Linked DNA regions of Drosophila melanogaster. The protein of the gene in region 2 purifies or fractionates together with the protein of the main gene of each other region. This does not show direct contact. Each region holds a gene or a part of one and is shown on either strand. Other genes may lie near its edges.

Region 1 (5,821 bases), on a different chromosome or scaffold from region 2:
AAAGTTCAGCAGATACTGCGGAAAGCTTCCCGATTTTGAAATGCGTTCTGATGGACGTTTCTTTCGAGTCACCTTGCATTCCAATGATCGCTTTGTGGCCATCGGATTCCGCGCCCTGTACACCTTTGAAACCGTTTCAGTGAATAATTCCATCACCGATCTTCGGGATAATGCCTCCATGCAGAGTTTCGTCTCAACAGCGTCAACTCAGCCGGTTGCAAATGTAAACAAATTAATTGCATGTATCTTATGCACTTATAAAGCATACCAATCTTATGTTTAAAATATAGAGACAAAATATTTCGAAATTTTGTTTTCTAATTCTTTAATAAATTTTAATAATTTTTTTCTATTTTAATGGCACACAACTTCATTAAATTTAAATATTTAATCTTGGCCAAATTATCGTTTTAAAAGCAATCGATTTCATGTTGGCTATCGAAGTTTATGCGTAGTAGTTCAAGAACTAACAATTTAAGTTGAGGGATTTTAAGTATTAGGATGTAAATTAAACGTGATATCATCGATAAAAACTCCGCCAAGCATTTTCATTTTCAATAGTTTCTGGTAAAAATTATTTATTTAATTTCAACTTCATTATCAGAGTTACCGTGTAAACGAGCCACTCGTTGTTATCTGCAATCGATCTTTACCTGTTCGATTCAGTTTTGTAGAGTCACGACATAAGTATATGCTATCTTTTTATCATTTTTGGTATAAATTAAAAACAAAGAAACAAATTACCATTAATTGTTTAAATTTAATAATGTCAACTTCTTTAAAACATAACATTCAACAAAACATATTATTATTTTGATCGTTTATAAGATTAGTTCCTTTGAACAAGTTTAATCCAAAAGCCGCCTTTGGGTGACAACTGAAAACCGGAAGTAATGAGCTCTAGTGGAATGCAGGATTTCTTGGCAGGGGCAAAGCGGTAGTCCTTCAAAAGATAGTAGATAACAGCCTTTGCTTCAAGTAGAGCGAATCGGGAACCTATAATAAATACATTTTACATTTTTTCGAAGAACAATTTTGAATCAATCAACTTACCAATGCAGTTGCGTTGACCCAGGCCAAAGGGGAAGTATGTGAATGGCTGAATAGACTCCTTGTTCTCATCGCTAAAACGTTCCGGATCGAACTTCATAGGGTTCTCAAAGTACTTGGGATCACGATGGAAGCCGCATGTAGGCAGCCAGATGACATCGCCCTTCTTGACCTCGACTTTCTGGCCATCCACATCGAAGGTGATATCCTTGTTGCATTCTCGATCGACGGCAATTGCCGCCGGCCACTTTCGCAGAACCTCGTTGACGACCTGATCCAGATACTTCATGCCCATAATTGCCTCATAGGTCAGTTCTTTGCCCTCCAGGTCTTGGTCCACTTGCTGTACCTCCTCGTATAGCCTCTGCTGCACATCCTGGTTCTCCATTAGCTCGTGAGCGGTGAAGCACATCAGCACCGCCGAAGTCTCGAAGCCAGCAAAGAAGAACACGAAACACTGGGCGACAATGTCGCGATCGCTCCACTCGCGAACGGCAGATGCCTTGGTCTTCTCCGTCTGGATGATACCACGAGCCTCCATCAGCATGTTTATCATGTCGGGACGTACAATATTGTGCTCCTGTCGGTATTTCATAGCATCGAGCACCAGACGCACGAAATACTGAGTGCTTTTCCTATCGAAAAGCTCGACCTTAAGGATCTACAAGGATTATTAAAATTAAGGAATATATTTTTTTGATATGTGTGTATGCTGTGCCAACCTTATTAAGACCCTTCAATGCGAAGAACAACATGAACTTCATGCTCTGCAGGAATGTAAATGTGGTCAGCTTTTTTCCCATCTGATAGAAGGTATTTTCGCGATCCTTGAACGAGTTCACTTGCAGTCCAAAGGCTGTCGAGGCGATCACATCATTGGTGAATCGTGTGCAGTAGTCCTTCATGTCCAGTTCATTCTCCTGAACCCTTGAATCATCCTGCTTAAGACAGTCCACGGCCTCCTTGGCCACCTGGTTCATCAGCTGGAACATCTGACGCATTTTGCTGCCTGTAAATGCCGGACTCAGAGTGCTTCGCATATCCTTCCACCGAGCATCTCGCATGGAGAACAGCGAGCTGCCGAAAAGGTTACTCATGTCATGTGGATCATCATCGCTGCTGGTGGCAAACACATTGCGATGATTGATAAAGTGATCGAAGTCCTTTATGGTTATCTGCTTGATAAGATCTGGGTCGCGCACCATTAAAAGTGGTTGTCGCTGCTCAAAGATACCAAAAAATCTAAAAAAAATAATAATGTTAATGACCGATAAGCTTTTTGTGAGTCACACACTGATAAATCAAATCAGAAATTATTAATCGTGCGCTCAACAAGTTTAGAAAACGATAACAGAAATTCGAGTTTATGCATGGCTAGCGTTGTTCATTACCTATCCGACGAATTTTCAATTAACCCATCTCGATTTCTTTTTGGAAAACTATAAATTTATAAAGCGGATTTCTCGTATTGGTCTATAAATAAATCATATGTACATTAAATCCAATTGAAAAGGCTGAGTACAATAATGATTGCATGTTTATAAAGTAACAAAAAGGGTAAAGTCATACAAAGAGTTGCCCCAATATGAAGTTAATTAATAAATTAGATAACCTTATCGTTATAGCACTTTTCAGGAGCTTTATCAATTATTTTTCCTATCAAGTTTGCCGTCCGAGACAAACAACATTTAAAGCTGTCGTATAATCGATAAGATTATGGCAAACTAAACTAATAGAACCAAGCATTTCGCCAATTATCTTGGCAGTTACACACTGCTTTAGATAAAAGACTTAACAAAATATAATAGAGTATTTCTGAATTTCTGTAATTGTATATTCAAAACGTAGTCGAACGCAGCCGCACCCACTAAATGTGTGTATAGATAGATCACTGATTGCCTGACCTTGACATACGATTTTATATAGGCTTGTACGCAATGCTGGAGGCCAGTAGATACACACTTGTTCCAAACGTGTTTTAAGTGCAAGTGCAAGTGAGCCGGATGCATATTAGGTAATCAACTTATTAAATCCGGATCAATGAATTTAACTCACTTCTTACTTCCGCCTTTGGTGTAGAGATCACAGACTATGTCAAACATGGCCCTCTTCCGCAGGAACATGCCGGCCATGTTGCCAAAGTAGAGCACTGGCTTTTCATAGGCGATGCCCCTATCCTTGAAGAAATCATTGTTGGCGGACGCCCAACGGTAGAACAAGGCGGCAGCGATCGCAAATAGGGCGAAGAACTCCCACAACATGTTGACCCTAGCTTGGCGATCTAAGCGTCCAGAATATAACTAACTACGCCACAAACAATCGGGAGCGTTTTGTTGTCCCCACGCAGAGCTTTCTAACAAAGCTTCGTGTACTGCATTTGATAAAATACTTGTTGTCTGTAATACACACAAGTATGTACAAATTTCTGAGCGCAAATGATTTAGAATATCACTCATCATTTCATTATCACGGCGTGTTGGAGAAAATGCTGACGACTCTGAGCATACCAATATTATGTTTAAAATATAGAAACAGAATATTTCGAAATTCTGTTTTCTAATTCTTTAATATATATTTTTTCTATTTTAATGGCACACAACTTCATTAAATTCATATATTTAAACTTGGCCAATTTATCGTTTTAAAATTCATCGATTTCTTGTTGGCTATCGAAGTTTATGCGTAGTAGTTCGAGAACTAACAATTTGATCTGAGGGATTTTAAGTATTAGGATGTAAATTAAACCATCATCACCATAAATTAAATTATCATCGATAAAAAAGGACGCAAAGCATTTTCATTTTCAATAGTTTCTAGTAAAAATATTTTATTTCATTTCAACTTCATTATCCGAGTTACTAGCCACTTGTTGCTATCTGCAATCGATCTTTACCTGTTCGATTCAGTTTTGTACAGTCACGACGCTACTATCTTCAATAAATACAGCTCTTATACGGTGCGATTAGCATTATTAACATTTCGCCAGTCGGCCGAAGCAGACGAATTACCTTTCGGTCTGGAAGTGATAAGACATTTCTAGTCAAATCATTATAGTCGCATATCTGTGGACTCTGGAATGGCGGCTAAGAAACTGGATGCCATAATCTTCGGTGCCTCCGGGTTTACCGGAAAGTACACCGTCTTCGAGGCTGTCAGCGTGCTGAAGGGCCTGCAATGGGGCATCGCCGGACGCAACCAGGAGAAGCTGCAGTCGGTGCTGCGGGAGATGGGTGCAAAGTCCAAGACAGACCTCTCCCAAACGCCGATCGTCATCGCGGACGTGAACAACGAGGCGTCACTGCTAGAGATGGCCAAACGCTGCCGCATTTTAGTCAATACGGCCGGACCATATCGGTTCTTCGGCGAGCGAGTGGTCAGGGCTTGCATCGAGGCGGGAACGCATCACGTAGACGTAAGCGGAGAGCCACAGTACATGGAAACCATGCAGCTGCGCTACCATGATCTCGCCAAGGAGCGTGGCGTGTACGTGATCAGTGCGTGCGGCTTTGATTCCATTCCCGCCGACATGGGAGTCACCTTCGTGGAGAAGAACTTCGACGGCGTGGTCAACTCAGTGGAGAACTTTGTCCATCTGGGCGTCAAGGGAGGTACCAAGGGAACGGGCAGTGCTGCACTCAACACCGGCACCTGGGAGAGCGCCATTCACGCTATCGCCAACCGGAGCGAGTCTGTGGCCATCCGGCGCAAGTTGTTTCCCGAGCGTCTGCCCAACTTTCATCCGGCTCTTAAGTCACGATCGCCGCTTTCCCGTGCCGCGGAAGTGGACAACAAGGTGATCCTGCCGTTCCCTGAAACAGATCGCTCGGTGGTGATGCGCTCGCAGCGTTTCCTTTACGAACTGGAGAAGAAGCGACCCGTTCAGATGCAGGCCTACATGACGTATCCCTCATGGTTTGCGGCCAGCGTTGTCGTGCTCTTCGCCTCTATCATTGGCATTATGGCCAAGTTCTCCTTTGGCCGCCAGCTGCTGCTTAAGTACCCCACCGTCTTCTCCGGCGGCATGGCTTCCCGCGAGGGTCCCAGTGAGGCGCGGATGGAGCGCTCCTTCTTCAGAATGACCATGAAGGCCACAGGCTGGCCCAAGTCCGAAAAACTAGCCGAGACCACCGATCAGTACACCTCTCCGCCCACAAAGACACTGACCGTGAGGGTTACGGGTCCCAATCCCGGCTATGGATCCACTTGCGTTGCACTGCTCTCCACGGCGAAGACCATCCTCAACGAAAGCGACAAGATGCCCGGATCCGGCGGAGTCCTGCCACCCGGAGCAGCCTTCCGTGGCACCAGTCTCATCAGCGAGCTGGAGAAGCACGAGCACGGCATTAAGTTTGAAATCGTGGCCAACAAATAGTGTCTTTAATGAGGTGCATTCGATGTTATTAAAAATACATATATGTATGTATGTATGTTAAATATATTTATCTTAATATGAAATTTGGATTTACGTTTGCATTACCTATTGATTAACTAATTTGTGCCATTAGCTTACTCACAAATAATTATTATTTATTTCAGGGAAGAATTAATATTTATATATGTGTTTATTACTATAACCAGTTCGGTTCCACTTCTTTTAAAAATAGTGCTCCAACTGGTTCTTGGGTTTCCAAGTATTTGCAGGCACGGTCACACCGACACAGTTTTGTTTCGATTAGTTTGGTTATCGATACCGCTGTTGGCTGCCTTCGTTGTTTACCTTTTGGTCATTAGCAATTTCGACGCCAACGCGAGAATACACAGATTATGAGTC
Region 2 (5,350 bases):
ACACCGAGGATCTGAGCCAGCTAGGTGCCCTGGAGTTCGAGGCACGCCAGATCCTGGCCGAGCTGGGCCTCACCTCCGAGATGCTGATCAACGCCAGGCAGAGCGGGCCGCGCTCCGACATCATTGGCGCCTACAGGATCGTGGTCAATCGGTTGCAGAAGCAGTCCTGGCTGGCACGAAAGCACGTGGAGATGGCACTGCACAGCGAGCCCAAGGTGGAGAAGCGGATTGAGAGGTCGTGCTGCATACTCTAAGACATCCGAAAATAGTTGTTGAATGTTCATATTACTCTCCTGGTTCCGCTGGGTCTTTGAGTTCCCCGAGAGGAAAGGCAAACTGGGTGTGTCGCTTTTGAAAGGAATCTAAGGTTCAAGGAACTCAAATAGTAGCTCAAAAACCTTTCCTACTAGAGGCTAGTCCGTTTCGATCAGCTTTAAATATCCAGTGCTTGATTTTGAACCAACAAATTGAGATTAGAAAATTTTATAGTGAATACAACATAGAATTTAACCAGAATATCGAGAATTAGGATGGATGAATTGCAAAAGTTAAATGCATTCGAAGCGCAAGAAACATAAGTCGCTTGAATATGAATAGAAAGGATTATCTTCCGATAGTAGGAGACAGTTGGATACTCTGATCTGCAAATCCCAGTTTGCCTTTCTGCGGGAATCAGCCCGGAAGGCCAAAGGTCAAGCCCAATTAGTGTCAATTCGCCAGCTGCGTAGCCGCGTGTTTGTTGTTAACGTAGATTCCTGCATCCTCATCCTGGTTACTCATTCGAGAAAGTTCCTTGGTTCGTGTAGCTTGAGTTTGTCCAGCCGTTGAGTCCAGAGGCGGATGGCAAAGTTGATATATACATACATACATATATATATACATATATAGATATATACATATAGTCCAAGTATTATGTATTTAGTTGTTGGTCCATTTTTGAGCATATACAGACGAATATACGAAAGGAAAATGAATATTACGATTACAAACATATAAATACACACCGGGCTAAGGCGATTGCCTCGATCTCATCGAGTCTTCAATGTACAACGTTGCATAAAAATGTTTAATTGATCATCAAAAAGCGGTATGTGTCCGTAAGTGTCGCTCTGTGTGTGTGTGTTTTGCCAAATTGTCTCCCGTGGAGTCAATCGCGTACAATAAAGCAGCATTATGAATCGCTAAGAACCGCATTCGTACAAATCGTAAACATACTAAAATCTAAATCTCAACCACTCGTCTAATTATGCACTTTAGCCTTAGTTTATTGCATTCGCAGCATCCGCAGGGGCTCGACCTCCCGGCCCACTCTCTTTCTCCTCATTGGGTGCTCCACTTTCGCCTGGCTGGGCTTCATCTGCTCTGGTGCGGCGCAGGCGCAGGCGCTCCGCCGGCGACCTCTCAAATGACGGCTCTCTCACTGGGCTTTTTGCCGCTGCCAATGGCGCCGCTACAGCCGGCGTCGCTGTCCCTGCCGCTCTCTTCTGGAAAATGGAGTGAATTTATTGAGTGAAATCGGAGTGAAATTTCGGACTGTTGATTCAGATTACAAGCTGTGAAGTTATAAATAATGGTCTTAATGGTCAGCTTCAACAGAACCAACTTACCAACTATGGCAAAAGAGTCCGAATCCGAGGTGCCCGCAGGCCAATCGATGTCCGGCATGGTGGGCCAGTCGATGTCCTCCGTGGTGTCCCAATCGACCGCGCGGGTTTGACTGATCTCGAAGAGCGCAGGCGAGCAGAGGCTGAGCACCTCCTCCTTCAACTTGGTTAACAGGGACTCGAAACTATCACTGGTCTTGCAGAGGAAACAAACCGCCAGCGAGGGGTCCATGGCGGAGAAGTTCAGGCGAGCAGCATGCTTTTGATGGTAGGTCTCGTCGTAGTCCTGTTCTGCCGCAGCAGTTTTCTGTGCCACGGCGCCCGTTCTCTGCGTGGTATGAGGATCTAGGTAGAGAACCTCATCGTCCACATAGCCCAGGAAGTACAGAGCCTGGTTTGGTCGACCTCCGATCATGCCACAACTGCTGTCTAGTTCAAGGCAGCGCTTTAAGGCAGGCACGTAAAGCGGGTTAATGTCTGTGATGCCCAGGCGCAGGGGGATTATGAGCAGCAGTGGCTTCCACGAGCCTCCTTCTCGGCACGACGCATCTACAAAGTGGACAATGTTGTTAGGCAAATAGTCGGGCTATTTAGGCCATTTTCCACACTTACATACGTCATCCAATACCACTGTGCTATCCATGGCCACGTGAATCGCCAGGGAGCTCCAGTCATCGAAGCGCACTAGTTTTCTGAAATCAGCAATTGATTATACCACTTATCCACCATGTTAGGCCAATGGTCTTACTTGAGAATCTGGGCTACTGTATTCGGTCCCAGCCACTCGCCGACCGCTTTGTTCTGGGACTCTCCCATCTGGGCAATCTGGTGTATGGAGTAGAAGCTATTCCTTACGTCTTCAAAACGGTTCACGATCTTGAGGTAGGTGGCATCACGGCAGTCCGGCGTCCAGAACCAGTCGCGTCCCAAATGTAAGTCGATCAGGGCCTGGGCGAGAACCATCTGACCACAGCGCAGCATGCAGCCCCAGCCCTTGTCCGTGGTGAGCTGGACTTCTCCCAACGGCGAAAATCCATGGCGATATGTGCACCACAGGCGCGACTGAATGTCCCGTCGGATGAGCTCTAGCTCTGAAAAGGGATAGGGTGTTGATTATGGATTTCAGTTTGGTATCCATCGATGATAATCGAAAAAAGGTTTGGGAAACCCCTTATGACTCATGCTGACCAATATGCTAGATTTGTACCCATATGACAGCATTAAATAAGGTCTCATCTTACCCTGTATGGCGTTGTACTTCTTTCCCAGGACCCAGACGTCGGTGTTTCTTCGGGGAATGTCCTCCGGCTCTCCGCTGCCCACCGCCTGGCCAACTGCACTAGCGAGGACGCTGTCTGGGCCCAAGTACGCCTCGAAGACGCTCTCCATGATCCGCGCTAGCTGGTCGCTGAGTCCAACCAGCATCTACTGCCCGGTGCGCTGGCAGAAGGAGAAGGGGGTGGACACCAGGGCCTCCGCTGCTCGTCTATACGATAATTGCCTTCGAATGACGTTCTGTTTTTCGGGTGGGCCTTTGTTTTGGCCTGTGTTTTCGCTGGCAGCAACGGCAATGCTCCTGCTTCTGGCCCGAGGTCACAGGGGTTTCATTTGTTGTTGGCAGTGACGGGCGCTGATTACAAACTATGCGATAACCAGCATTTGATCAGTCTGCGGCTGGTTTAGTTTGATTTATTTTTCTTTTTTGTTGATTACAACGCAGTGACGTAGCTGTTAGTATGACCGCAACTGATAAGGTATTTTACTTTGCCAAAATACCGAACCTTGCACTTAACATGACCATAACATAGGAAATAACAGTATTTTTCCAAACTGTTAATGAAATGCATTCAAAAATGAAGTTTTTTAAAAAATATTTAATTTTTTTCTTATTTTACGCAAAGTATAGATTTGTAACAATGTAAAAACTTCAAAATTGCACGTGCGGGACTTCAAACTAGCTACGCTACCTTGAGTGCGCAGAATTTGTTGTTCAGATCGAAGAAGTCGTTTTCTGGATCGGCATCCTCGACCATTTCCGCATTGGGATCCGCGATGGCCTCCCTTAGCTCCACTTTCCTAGCCGCCTGACGCTGCTTCTTCAATCGCTTCTTCTGCAGGGCCTTTGCCGCCGTCGGATCCACCTCCAATCGCTTCCAAGTTGGTATAAACTCCGCGCACCAGTCGTACAAGTAGCAATAGAAATCGAACATCAACTTGGAGTCGGGCAGCAGGAAGTTCTCAACATGGTAGCGGACATCGGCACGATTCCTCAGTACATCATACATGTTGTAGAGAAAGGCGCCGCAATAAAGCTGGTTCATCCTCGGACTCAAAAGTGGAAAATCCAAAAGAGAATTTAGCCCATTGAGTTGGTAAACCACAGCCTGAAATTCAGCAAATGCGTGGATAACCGTGGTGGAGTACAAGTCAAACTTCTTTTTGAAGATCTCCTGCATATGGAAGTGCGGCAGTAGGCGTTCCTGAGTTAAATAGCAGTCCGATTTGGGTACATGAGCCATCCGATCTGGAACAGAAAGCTCTAGCAGAGCAGGTTTGATGCCGCGCTTAATTCCCTCGGCAGCTTCCTTATCCCTCACTGCTCGCTCTGCTTTCAATGTCTTGCCAAATCTTTTAAGGAAGGTTTTCACCTCTCGTTCAGCAGGGATTGTAACATCTATGGTTCGTAGGACAACCAAACTAAGGATCAGCGAGTGAAGATGCAGCAAATCACAGTGCTCCGAGCGATGTAACCAGTAGATAATGGCCAGAAAGTACAGCCTCAGGTCCTCCGGCAACTGGTCGAGCTTGCTGAACAACTTCTCCGTATCCGCATTGGGAGCATTGTCTTCGAATACAGCTCTTAAATGCCTAGCATCCGGCGAAAGAGGATCAAACGGATAGGCAGGCTTCTTTTCAATGGGCATCTTGAAATACCTCACGTTCGTCACTCGCAGAGCTCTGGTGAGGTAGGTGAGATAGGGGACTGTCGAACCCTCTATATCCATATCCACTTCTAATGGTAGCTCAATTTTCTCACACTCTACGTGATGGAGAAGAGCGAACACGTAGTTCAGGATGGGTAAGGCCACTTCATTGGAGTCGTGGAAGGGAAAGTGCTCGATCTGTGGGTTGTTGATGTACTTGCGCAGGTGCATAAGGTCCACGAAGCTGCGGGGCAGGTGCGCGGGATATAGTTTGTCCAGAAACCATTGTGGGAAGAGTAGCGTTTTGTCTTCCACTTCCAGCTCGAGGCCTTCATCCGCCTCCTCTTCTTCTTCATCACCCGAATCAACGTCTTGATTTTCTTCCTGCTGCTCCTCATCTTGGTTATCAGCTTCCTCCTGATCCTCGCCTTCTTCGACATCTGAAAATTTTTCATCGGAGCTAGACGAATGTTCATCGTCGCTGCATTCCTCTTCACTGACGGGTTCTATATAAGGAAAAGCATTCTCGTAGTGCTCATCGAAGTAATCGTAGGCGTGGCACAACTCGTTGGAGTAACCAGAGATGGCTGCATTCACTTGGGAGACCAGGGAATCACGCTGGTTCTGCAAGAATATTATTTTTAGCATAAATCGGAAAAAGATATCTCAAGCAACGAACCTTTTTCAGTCTCGACAGCACTTTAGCCAGAGCAGATTCCGCCGTTTCCTCCTTCAGCCATGTGAGGATGACCTGTATGCGCTTCTGCTGGAGCTTTAGTTTGCGACTTCGTCCTGCTTTGCCCATTCCCGCAGCAAAAAAGT
Region 3 (5,025 bases), on a different chromosome or scaffold from region 2:
GAACCTGTTGCTCACATCTATGCATTTGCTGTGGGCTAGACATCACAACTATTTGGCTCGACAATTGCAGGAGCAGAATCCACATTGGGAGGATGAGCGGCTCTACCAGGAAGCCCGAAAGATTCTTGGTGCTCAGATGGCACACATCACCTACAATGAGTTTTTGCCAGTGCTGCTGGGGAAGAATATCAGCGAGGCCAAGGGCTTGCTGCCTGCCAAACACAATCTAAATGCTCCGGATACGTATGACCCGGAGGTGGATCCAAGTATTGCCAATTGCTTTGCAGCAGCCGCATTTCGATTTGCACACACTCTTCTACCGGGATTGTTTAATATCTCGAGGGATAACAGCACTCCCGAGGCCATCGAACTGCACAAGATGCTCTTCAATCCATTCTCGCTCTGGGCGGAGCATGGCATTGACCACGCCCTGATGACAGCGGCCAATACGCCGGTGATGCAAGTGGATCGCTTCTTTTCACTGGAAGTCACGCAAAAGCTTTTCGAAGGCACCGCAGAGGATAGGGTGCCTCTTTGTGGACTCGATTTGGTATCCTTAAACATTCAGAGGGGTCGGGATCATGGCATACCCTCGTATCCAGTCTTCCGTCGCCATTGCCGCCTGCCGACGGTGGACACGTGGGAGGAGATGTCACAGGCCATTGACAACGCTACTCTGGACTCCATCCGGCAGATTTATGAGTAAGTAAAGTTCTCGATTATAGTATTGCCTTAAAGGTAAACACTTTTGGTTTTTAGATCTCCGCAGGATGTGGACGTCTATACGGGTGCACTTAGTGAGCCGCCACTGGATGGAGCTATTTTTGGTCCGTTGCTCAGCTGCATGGTTTCCGACCAGTTCCTACGCCTCAAACTAGGTGACTCCCATTGGTACGAACGGAAAATGGGCCCACAGAAGTTCACCAAAGGTGAGAGTCCTTGGAAGTCCTATTTTCTCATTAAGAATCGTGTTTATCCTGATTCATAAGCTCAATTGGCGGAGATCTACAAGACCAGTCTGGCCGCCATCATTTGTCGCAACTCAGATGGAATCACCCGAGTGAGGGAGCATGTTATGCAGAGACTGCGCGATGGAGGTAATCCCCATGTGGATTGCCAGGACCTGGAGGGATTCCATTTCAATTTCGAACCCTGGTCCGAGAAGCAACAGCCCCAGGATCTTCATAGTGCCGGCATAAGCAGGGGATCCACTTCGGTGCGAGTAATGTCCAAGGCAAATCATCAAGCCCACAACGTAACCCTACATATTGATAAAGGAATCTAGTTAGAAACAAGATTCAATTTTGATTAGGAAGGATTTAATATTAAATATTATAAAAAACATATACTTCTAAACCGGTTCCTTCTATTTTAAAATAGAGTTGCTATGCTAAAGTTAGTTAACTAAACAGCAGCCCATCATAAATCAACAATAAGTCAACGAATTCTAAGATTATAAATCAACTTTTAAGTATTTTGTATATAATAATTGTTAGCTTATAACATAAGAGCTTTGTTTTGCATTTCACCATTAATATAAAGCTGTCATCAAGACTATCAATGTAGCTTTGTTCATTTAGAATTCTTCGCTGTAAAGAATTAAGAGAACGTTACTGCCAAAGAGAACAAATAATCGACGAATTTCAGCGCATATAAGTGGAGGCTCTCCAGTTTGATAGTCAGTTATATATTGACTTTCGCAGAGAAAGGGTGGATTTAAAAAAAAGAAAAGGTGCACTACTTCGACTATGTTTTCGCTGATTTTATTGGCCGTAACGCTATTGACTTTGGCGTGGTTCTATCTGAAGCGCCACTATGAGTACTGGGAGCGACGCGGATTTCCATTTGAAAAACACTCCGGGATTCCATTCGGTTGCTTGGACAGTGTGTGGCGGCAGGAGAAGAGCATGGGCTTGGCCATCTACGATGTGTATGTGAAGAGTAAAGAGCGCGTCTTGGGCATTTATTTGCTCTTCCGTCCGGCTGTTTTGATCAGAGACGCCGATCTGGCTCGCCGTGTTCTGGCCCAGGATTTCGCCAGTTTCCACGATCGCGGCGTTTACGTTGATGAGGAACGGGATCCCCTGTCGGCCAATATCTTCTCGCTTCGCGGTCAGAGCTGGCGATCGATGAGGCACATGTTGTCGCCATGTTTCACATCCGGAAAGTTGAAGAGCATGTTCAGCACATCCGAGGATATTGGTGACAAGATGGTGGCCCATCTGCAAAAGGAGCTGCCGGAGGAGGGCTTCAAGGAGGTGGACATAAAGAAAGTGATGCAAAACTATGCCATTGACATTATAGCCTCGACTATCTTTGGCTTGGATGTAAATAGCTTCGAAAATCCTGATAACAAGTTCCGTAAACTGGTGTCGTTGGCCAGAGCCAATAATAGATTCAATGCCATGTTCGGCATGATGATCTTCCTGGTGCCCTCGTAAGTAATAAGTGAGAGTGAGTTTTGCTATGGTGTGTCTAATGGATGTTCTTGTAGGATAGCACAGTTCCTATTCAGAATAGGTTTTAAAAATCCAGTTGGCCTGGCCATGTTGCAGATTGTCAAGGAAACCGTTGAGTATCGCGAGAAACATGGAATAGTGCGCAAGGATCTGTTGCAGTTGCTCATTCAGCTGAGGAATACCGGCAAGATAGACGAGAATGACGAGAAGTCCTTTAGCATTCAGAAGACACCCGATGGTAAGTCATAATACAAGTTAAATTCTAATCAAGATAGATTGAGTGGTTTAACGTTTTCAGGTCATATTAAAACCATATCCTTGGAGGCCATCACCGCTCAGGCTTTTATATTCTACATCGCTGGTCAGGAGACCACCGGATCGACTGCAGCCTTTACCATCTACGAGCTGGCTCAGTATCCAGAGCTACTGAAGCGCCTGCAGGATGAAGTGGACGAGACACTGGCCAAAAACGACGGAAAGATCACCTACGATTCCCTGAACAAGATGGAATTTTTGGACCTGTGTGTGCAGGAAACCATTCGCAAATATCCGGGTCTTCCCATTCTGAATCGTGAATGCACCCAGGACTACACAGTACCCGACACCAACCACGTCATTCCGAAGGGAACGCCAGTTGTGATCTCCCTGTACGGCATTCACCATGATGCAGAGTACTTCCCGGATCCCGAGACCTATGATCCCGAACGCTTCTCGGAGGAGAGTCGCAATTATAATCCCACTGCATTCATGCCGTTTGGCGAGGGTCCCAGGATTTGCATTGCCCAGAGGATGGGTCGTATTAACTCCAAACTGGCCATCATCAAGATCCTACAGAACTTCAATGTCGAGGTGATGAGCAGGAGCGAAATAGAGTTCGAGAACAGTGGCATTGCCTTGATTCCCAAACATGGAGTGCGAGTGCGTTTGTCCAAAAGAGTGCCTAAATTATCATAAAAATTACAATTGCAATGATGAAATACAATAGTTAAGTGGCTAGCAAATCACTCCGATTATTTGGAATGATAAGAGATTACCGTCAGATAAAAAACAAAAAGTGTACAATAAATTCATTATCAAATCATTAATTAATATTTAAATTCGAAAATAACTTTTATGAATTAACATAGTTTCTTGTTATAATAATGTTACTTTTAACTCGCTCTCTATTTATAGGTATTATGTAAATTATAAAGTTGAAATGAATATGTGTGTTTTGTTAATTTATTTGCTAAAGTTGCCTAGGTGCAATCCATCTGTTTGCTGTTGAAATACCTTTTATGATTGTCCTTATCGTTATCATAAGTATGCAATGATACGAGAACCAACTGCGATTACCAATTACTAATGTCACCAAGAGATAGCATAGGGTAACATATTGTATATTCAGTGTGGTAAAAATAATGAACTTTCTAAACCGTTTTCTATAATCAGATGTATTACCAATAAATACAATAGACCAGAAAACAACAAAAAGTGAGGTCAACAATTTTTATTGAATGCAATGCCAGTGCTGTGGAATTCTTCACAATTCAAGGAGTCATGGATAAAGATAGTATGTACAATAACAAAAGCAGTGTGCTAACCGTCCAGTCAATTTGCTTTCCAGAAATCCGACTATTCCGATAATTCCGATTTATCCGATTATTTCGATTTATTTGCTTTCGCGCTCCTCCAATTGCTGCATCTCCTTTTCATTTTGCAACATTTTCTGTTTGTTCTTTTGCCGAAAGATTTCCTTGCTGGCTTCTTTGATGGCCTCGAAGATTTTGGCCTGCGACATGATTTGCTTTTGAACATTTTCCACAGCTGGCTCGGCATTGATATCGATCAAATCACTTAGACCTTCGGATAAATACTCATTGTTATAGGGTTTCTCTTCGACTTCGTTGCGTTTGAATAGCGAGAATGGCGGATACGAGGGATACGTACGCTTTCGTCCACAGCCTGTAAATCGTCCGGATTGTAATGGATATTATTATATATTGTATTAAAATTACCTGTAAATGCATTGCAAAACGGTCGCTTCTCGTACTTCCATTGTATAACGCCACTTAGCTTGTGCTGCAAATAAGACGATAAATTATATTTATATCAAAACTAATCAGGTAACAACTATTTAATTAGGTATGTAAATGAACGTTAAACAATGCGTCGCGTTATCAACTTAGATTATAACTCCGCTTAACTAATTTAACGAATTTCACAATTTACTTCCACTTTCTGTTGGGTCTTAATGAAATAGTTAATCCATTGATAACTCACATTTGCCATATTGGTGCCCTCGTTGTTCTCCCTTTCCAGCGAAGCCTGAGAGCAAATGGCACAAGCCAGGAGTGCAAGCAGCCTCAGGGAAATCCTCATGGACGTTCTCATTGCAGGAGTGTGTTTTTTTTAATAAGGATCCACTTAGCAACCGACGCGCTTAACACTCGAAAGCCAAATGAAAGTGGCCGCAGCTTGGGCCTTGGTCAACATCTCGGCTACGCAATGTGAGACTTGTTGCTTTCAGAAGGCGACAGGACCACCAGCTGGGCCTGGAATGTATTTTGGTTGCCACTTAATGGCT
Region 4 (4,685 bases), on a different chromosome or scaffold from region 2:
GCACATTCGCGGTACCAATCTTTCCGCTCGGAGTAAAAAAGCTTTTTAAGGGCTTTGTAGGCAAAGCAAGTAATTTGTTATGATAGTTTTTAAGAAATTGGATGTTTCTGCACGAGTAGATGTCCAATGAATCAGTATTTTAAGAGCTACGCAACTACAGGCAGGAGCCTGTATCATCCGATTTCATTTTGATAATAACAGGTTTGAAAAGATGCGCATTTACTGAGTTGGTAAGAAACTGACTGATAACAAACTTTTCCAGACGCTATATTAGTCAGCTTTTAAGTGTGAGTAAAGCTGAGTCCATGGGTTTGTCCATGTCATCCACCAACTTGAGTGCTATAGCAATTAGCTTTATTGTCGCTTAAGAAATGCTATGGAACTGTAATAATGTAATAATATGTCTGTAATAAATGCTTAACTTATGATTTGATAATAAAATTTTCATTTCACAATTTAAGTAAATGTGGAGTAAGTTTTTCCCATGTGAAAACTGAATTACTTTATTTATTTATTTTGAAACATAACATAAAGTTTTCCCTAAATATTTAGAAATATTTTTGTTCTGTAATGTATCTTATCTTATTATAATTTGGCTTGCCAAACGTTAGGACAACCTAAATTAGATTTTAAACTATCCTTGTTATTAAAGATTTCTAAATTAAATTTTATTATTATAAAGCTTTTGAGCACAGTATTCTGACAGAGAGTATATACAAGACTGGCTTTTAAAAGCTTTTATTTTATATGTATGTACATACATCTAAAATTCGGATTGGTTAATATTTAAATTCAAAGACACCTTCTTTTAAGAATTCAAATTTCCAGTCAAAACATATTTTTAAGTCGTTTCTCTCCCTCTCTAAAATTGAATTCTTTTTTATTTATTTATCTATCATTATTCAATTGTAAAAAAAGCTTTTTGATACTAGACAGTTTCTTTGTGTTTATTTGTATAATGTAGGGATTAATGCAATCTTGGAACGCAGTCTTTTGTAGATAAGAGTTTTCCTATACATATTTCGCGCTGTCAGGATTATACACATTTTCAGATAACAACTATTATGGTCTTTCAAGTCCTTCCATCCTCAAATGAACTCCCTCCTGGGTGGATATCAGGAAATTACGACTGGAAAACTTCAGCGGGATCTGTGTTTTCTCCGACCTGCTGAACTTAAAATCCCTTAGAAGGTATACAAGACCCACCTTCACTTGCAGTTTACCAAAACGCTCGCCTATGCAATTTCGAGGACCCTCGCCAAAAGGCAAATAGGCGAAAGGATGCCTAGCCTTAATCTCTTCTGGCTCAAAGCGACTGGGATCAAACTTTTCTGGATCGGGATAAAGCTCTGGGTCGTGATGAATACTATGCACAGGTATTATTATCTTAGATCCCGGCTCCAGGATTAGGTTGCTATTCGGTATCTGGTACTCCTTGGTGGAACGCCTCAGTAAGTGAGGCAGTATAGGATACTTGCGAAGCGTCTCGGCAACCACTTGGTCCAGGTAGGGCATCTCCTGAACGGAGTCGTACGTGAGCTTTTGGTTGTTGCGTTTCAAAACGGCGAGTACCTCAACCCGTAGCCTTTCTTGGACATCGGGGTTGAGGGCCAGCTCATACAGGCAGAAGGACATGGTGGTGGAGGAGGTGTCGAACCCGGCCAAAAAGAAAACCAATGCCTGGGCCGCAATCTGCTCGAAGGAGAGGGCGTCTTTTACTCCCTCCTCACCCAATTCCATTAGTAGTTGGATCAGGTCGTTGCGATGAATATTCTCCCGTCGCCTGTAGTCCAATGTCTGGCGTACCGTGTCCAAGAAGAACTCACTGACCTCCGGGCGAAAAAGCCTGAAGCGCAGCTTCCTAGCCAACTCCGGCTGGGCAAACATAAAGGCCTGGACGAGCACCGAATGCAGGGGCTCCTGGGTCACTGATCGGCCCATTCGCCGGAACTGCGACTCCGGATCCTGGAGACTATTACACTCGAGGCCGAAGGCACAGCTGCCGATCACATCCGTGGTGAACCTGGCACACAGATCCTTTGCCTCTATCTCGCCGACCTGGAGGCGACACGCCTGCGTTAGCTTCTCGCCCACCTCCACCATGTTGGGGAACATGAATTTCATCTTGCCGGAGGTGAACACCTGCGTCAAATTCTGGCGCAACCAGCGCCACTCCGGTCCGTCCAGGAAGAGAAGGTTCCCGGTCAGTGGATCGTCCCGCACATTATGGAAGAGTCCTCGATCGGCGAAGCTGGAAAAGTCCCTGATCATTATATCGCGGATCAGTTCCAGATCCATGATAAACAGCGACTTGGTCATAAAAGTGAAGTAGCCGCAGTAGCGCTCCACTCCCCGAAACTTCCGGTAGATCCGCAGGTTGATATCCGTCCAGTGAAGGTCCCTTCCCAGCCCACTCATATTGCCGCGGAAGTACACGGGTCTTTCTCCGGCGACGCCCCTTCTGCTCCAGTAGCTGTAATGCCAGCGTAGCTTGACATATAGCAGAAGTCCGACGGTGAACACGAGTACCAGGAGCGTCAGCATGGTACCTACTGCTCGATAGAATAACAACTGAGTGGAAAAGTGGGGTACATTTGATTTGCCGTCTGAAAAGCTTTCGCTTCGCTCTCTTTTCGGGGACTCTCTTTCTCTATCGGTCTTATATGCAAAGAACTGCAGTTATCTAAACATACATAAACATATCTTGCGTCATTTTAAATGAGAATCAAATGATTTGTAAACAAAATATATAGAGCGTTGCTAATGTTCAGTTTTCAGATCAATTATTATTTGAAAATTTAAAAAACTTCACTGGCTAAGCGTTATTAGATTATTTACAAGTTTTACAAGTACATTCTAAACTTTCCAAAGTTAGTAAAATTCCGAGTCTATATGCGTTCCACTATGGCGCTGCGAGTGTCCGAAGCTAAGGGGATGTCTGTTAGGTCTGAATCACCGAACTTGAAGCGCTGACACAATGCCAATCTTGGCCTGCATTTTGCCAAAACGCAGACCTATGCAACTGCGGGGTCCAAATGTTCCGAAGGGCAGATATGCAAATGGATGGCGGGAGTTGGACTTATAAGCCTTGAGGCGGCTGGAATCGAAGAGTTTTGGATGTGGATATAAGTGCGGATCGTAGTGAACACTGTGCACAGGTATCAGTAATGAAGTTCCCTTCTCAACGATGAGCTCAGTATTGCGGACCCTAAAGCTTTCTTGTGTTTCGAGCAAAAATTTAATTAATTGGATGTTTTCGAAGAGTTTCTAAAAGTTAAGTTGCGCTATCAAATTTTCCATGCTTACCAGACAAGACCTGTTCTGGATAGTTAATTTTAGCTAAGGCGTCGTAAGTAATCGCATTTCCTTCCAGAACCCTTTCTATTTCATCCCTTATTTGATTCTAGATCTCCGGCTGGAGGGCTAGTTCGTACTTACAAGAGCTCATCGTACTGGAGGAGGTCTCGAATCCAGCCAAGAAGAACACGATGGCCTGGGCAGCCATTTGCTCCAGGGTCCAGTTGTGGGAGAGATCAAACTTTGACCCTCCTTGCCTGCTACTTCGTCCTCCGCTCGGAGGACTGGTCCATAAAGTCATTCCGCTTAATGCCGGTTTAACCACCGACAAGAAGAAGTCGGTCAAATCATCGCGAAGAATCTTCATTTTTAACTTTTTAGCCAACTTGGAGTTGGTAACTGTAAATGCGGCCCTTTCTTCTGAACTCGGCTTTGGGATTCGGGATCCACTATGTGCCGATTCCCTTGATGTTTGCAATCAGCGGTAGAGGACGCTCATGGGACACTCCCCGTTCTGGCCCAATATGTGTAGGTGTTGTAATAGAATCTATATAAGCCAACATTGGGACCAAACTGAATAATGCGAGAGTGAGCCGCATGGCGATCAAGATACTTCTTTGGATTAAGCTATCCAGCACACTGGTACGCGAAGTATTTTCTTGAAAGCTTATTGTTAGGTTCTAACGAATTTTCTTCATAGATCTCGGGAGCTTAATCGGCAATCAAGCAAACAATCAAACATATGTACAATATACATATAAACATTTGCTCAGCTTTTGAGTCGACAAAGCTTTTTCCCATGGTGAACTAGACGGTACTAGAAGATAAGGTTGTAAACAAATACTATATACATTGTTTAGTTTAAGTGTACTATTGTACATTGTGATGATATAACTTATTCTTTAAGAGGTAAAGTGAAGAGCATACTAGATTCGTTGAAAAGTTTAAAAGTAAAAGTTTGAAAGTAAAATATAGAAGGAAACCCTTTGAGACTCATATATGTTAGATCAGAATCACAGGAGTTTATATGTACGCCGGACTAAATATGTATGTACATATTTTATGAAATTAGGGCTTGCATATCGCAATCTGATAGTATCTGATAGCCTCCTGTCTTTTTCTATTATTAACCTCGGAAATAACAATAGATAGAAGATAGAATAGATAGAACATTTTTATTATTCCGGTGACTCAAGTTGCCCAATCGTATTCGTTATCAAGAAATTCTGTCAACATGACCACCGTAACAGAAATCGGTGATAAAGAGTCGACGAAATGTTTGGTCTAATGCCTAATGCCGCAAAAATTTGTTGGTAATGCTGAAAAGAGGGGACAATATCAGTTGGGGCTCTATAAATGTACCCGTTATCGCTATAACAATTAATGCA

The links.
Region 1: the proteins of Atg4a (region 2) and Cyp9f2 purify together in Drosophila melanogaster (affinity purification with mass spectrometry, with the first as the bait; one large-scale study listed by BioGRID). This does not show direct contact.
Region 3: the proteins of Atg4a (region 2) and Cyp6d4 purify together in Drosophila melanogaster (affinity purification with mass spectrometry, with the first as the bait; one large-scale study listed by BioGRID). This does not show direct contact.
Region 4: the proteins of Atg4a (region 2) and Cyp6a13 purify together in Drosophila melanogaster (affinity purification with mass spectrometry, with the first as the bait; one large-scale study listed by BioGRID). This does not show direct contact.

What each region holds. Positions count from the first base shown.
Region 1 is NT_033777.3:12,402,598-12,408,418, forward strand, and holds Cyp9f2 (cytochrome P450 9f2), read right to left. Parts: upstream 3,432-5,821; 5' UTR 3,312-3,431; coding exon 3,106-3,311; intron 2,293-3,105; coding exon 1,773-2,292; intron 1,712-1,772; coding exon 1,054-1,711; intron 997-1,053; coding exon 830-996; 3' UTR 743-829; downstream 1-742. Other genes in the region: Sol1, read left to right, coding at 1-283; CG5167 (uncharacterized protein), read left to right, coding at 4,127-5,422; CG5196 (uncharacterized protein), read left to right, coding at 5,815-5,821. UniProt on the Drosophila melanogaster protein: May be involved in the metabolism of insect hormones and in the breakdown of synthetic insecticides.
Region 2 is NT_033779.5:1,078,923-1,084,272, reverse strand, and holds Atg4a (Autophagy-related 4a), read right to left. Parts: upstream 3,363-5,350; 5' UTR 3,030-3,362; coding exon 2,846-3,029; intron 2,696-2,845; coding exon 2,353-2,695; intron 2,297-2,352; coding exon 2,217-2,296; intron 2,154-2,216; coding exon 1,608-2,153; intron 1,485-1,607; coding exon 1,402-1,484; 3' UTR 895-1,401; downstream 1-894. Other genes in the region: CG4629 (uncharacterized protein), read left to right, coding at 1-254; ast (asteroid), read right to left, coding at 3,563-5,152, 5,208-5,350.
Region 3 is NT_033777.3:22,696,648-22,701,672, forward strand, and holds Cyp6d4 (cytochrome P450 6d4), read left to right. Parts: upstream 1-1,671; 5' UTR 1,672-1,748; coding exon 1,749-2,437; intron 2,438-2,494; coding exon 2,495-2,697; intron 2,698-2,757; coding exon 2,758-3,413; 3' UTR 3,414-3,660; downstream 3,661-5,025. Other genes in the region: cd (cardinal), read left to right, coding at 1-702, 760-929, 990-1,285; CCAP (crustacean cardioactive peptide), read right to left, coding at 4,111-4,403, 4,457-4,520, 4,722-4,832. UniProt on the Drosophila melanogaster protein: May be involved in the metabolism of insect hormones and in the breakdown of synthetic insecticides.
Region 4 is NT_033778.4:8,568,390-8,573,074, reverse strand, and holds Cyp6a13 (cytochrome P450 6a13), read right to left. Parts: upstream 2,577-4,685; 5' UTR 2,545-2,576; coding exon 1,063-2,544; 3' UTR 928-1,062; downstream 1-927. UniProt on the Drosophila melanogaster protein: May be involved in the metabolism of insect hormones and in the breakdown of synthetic insecticides.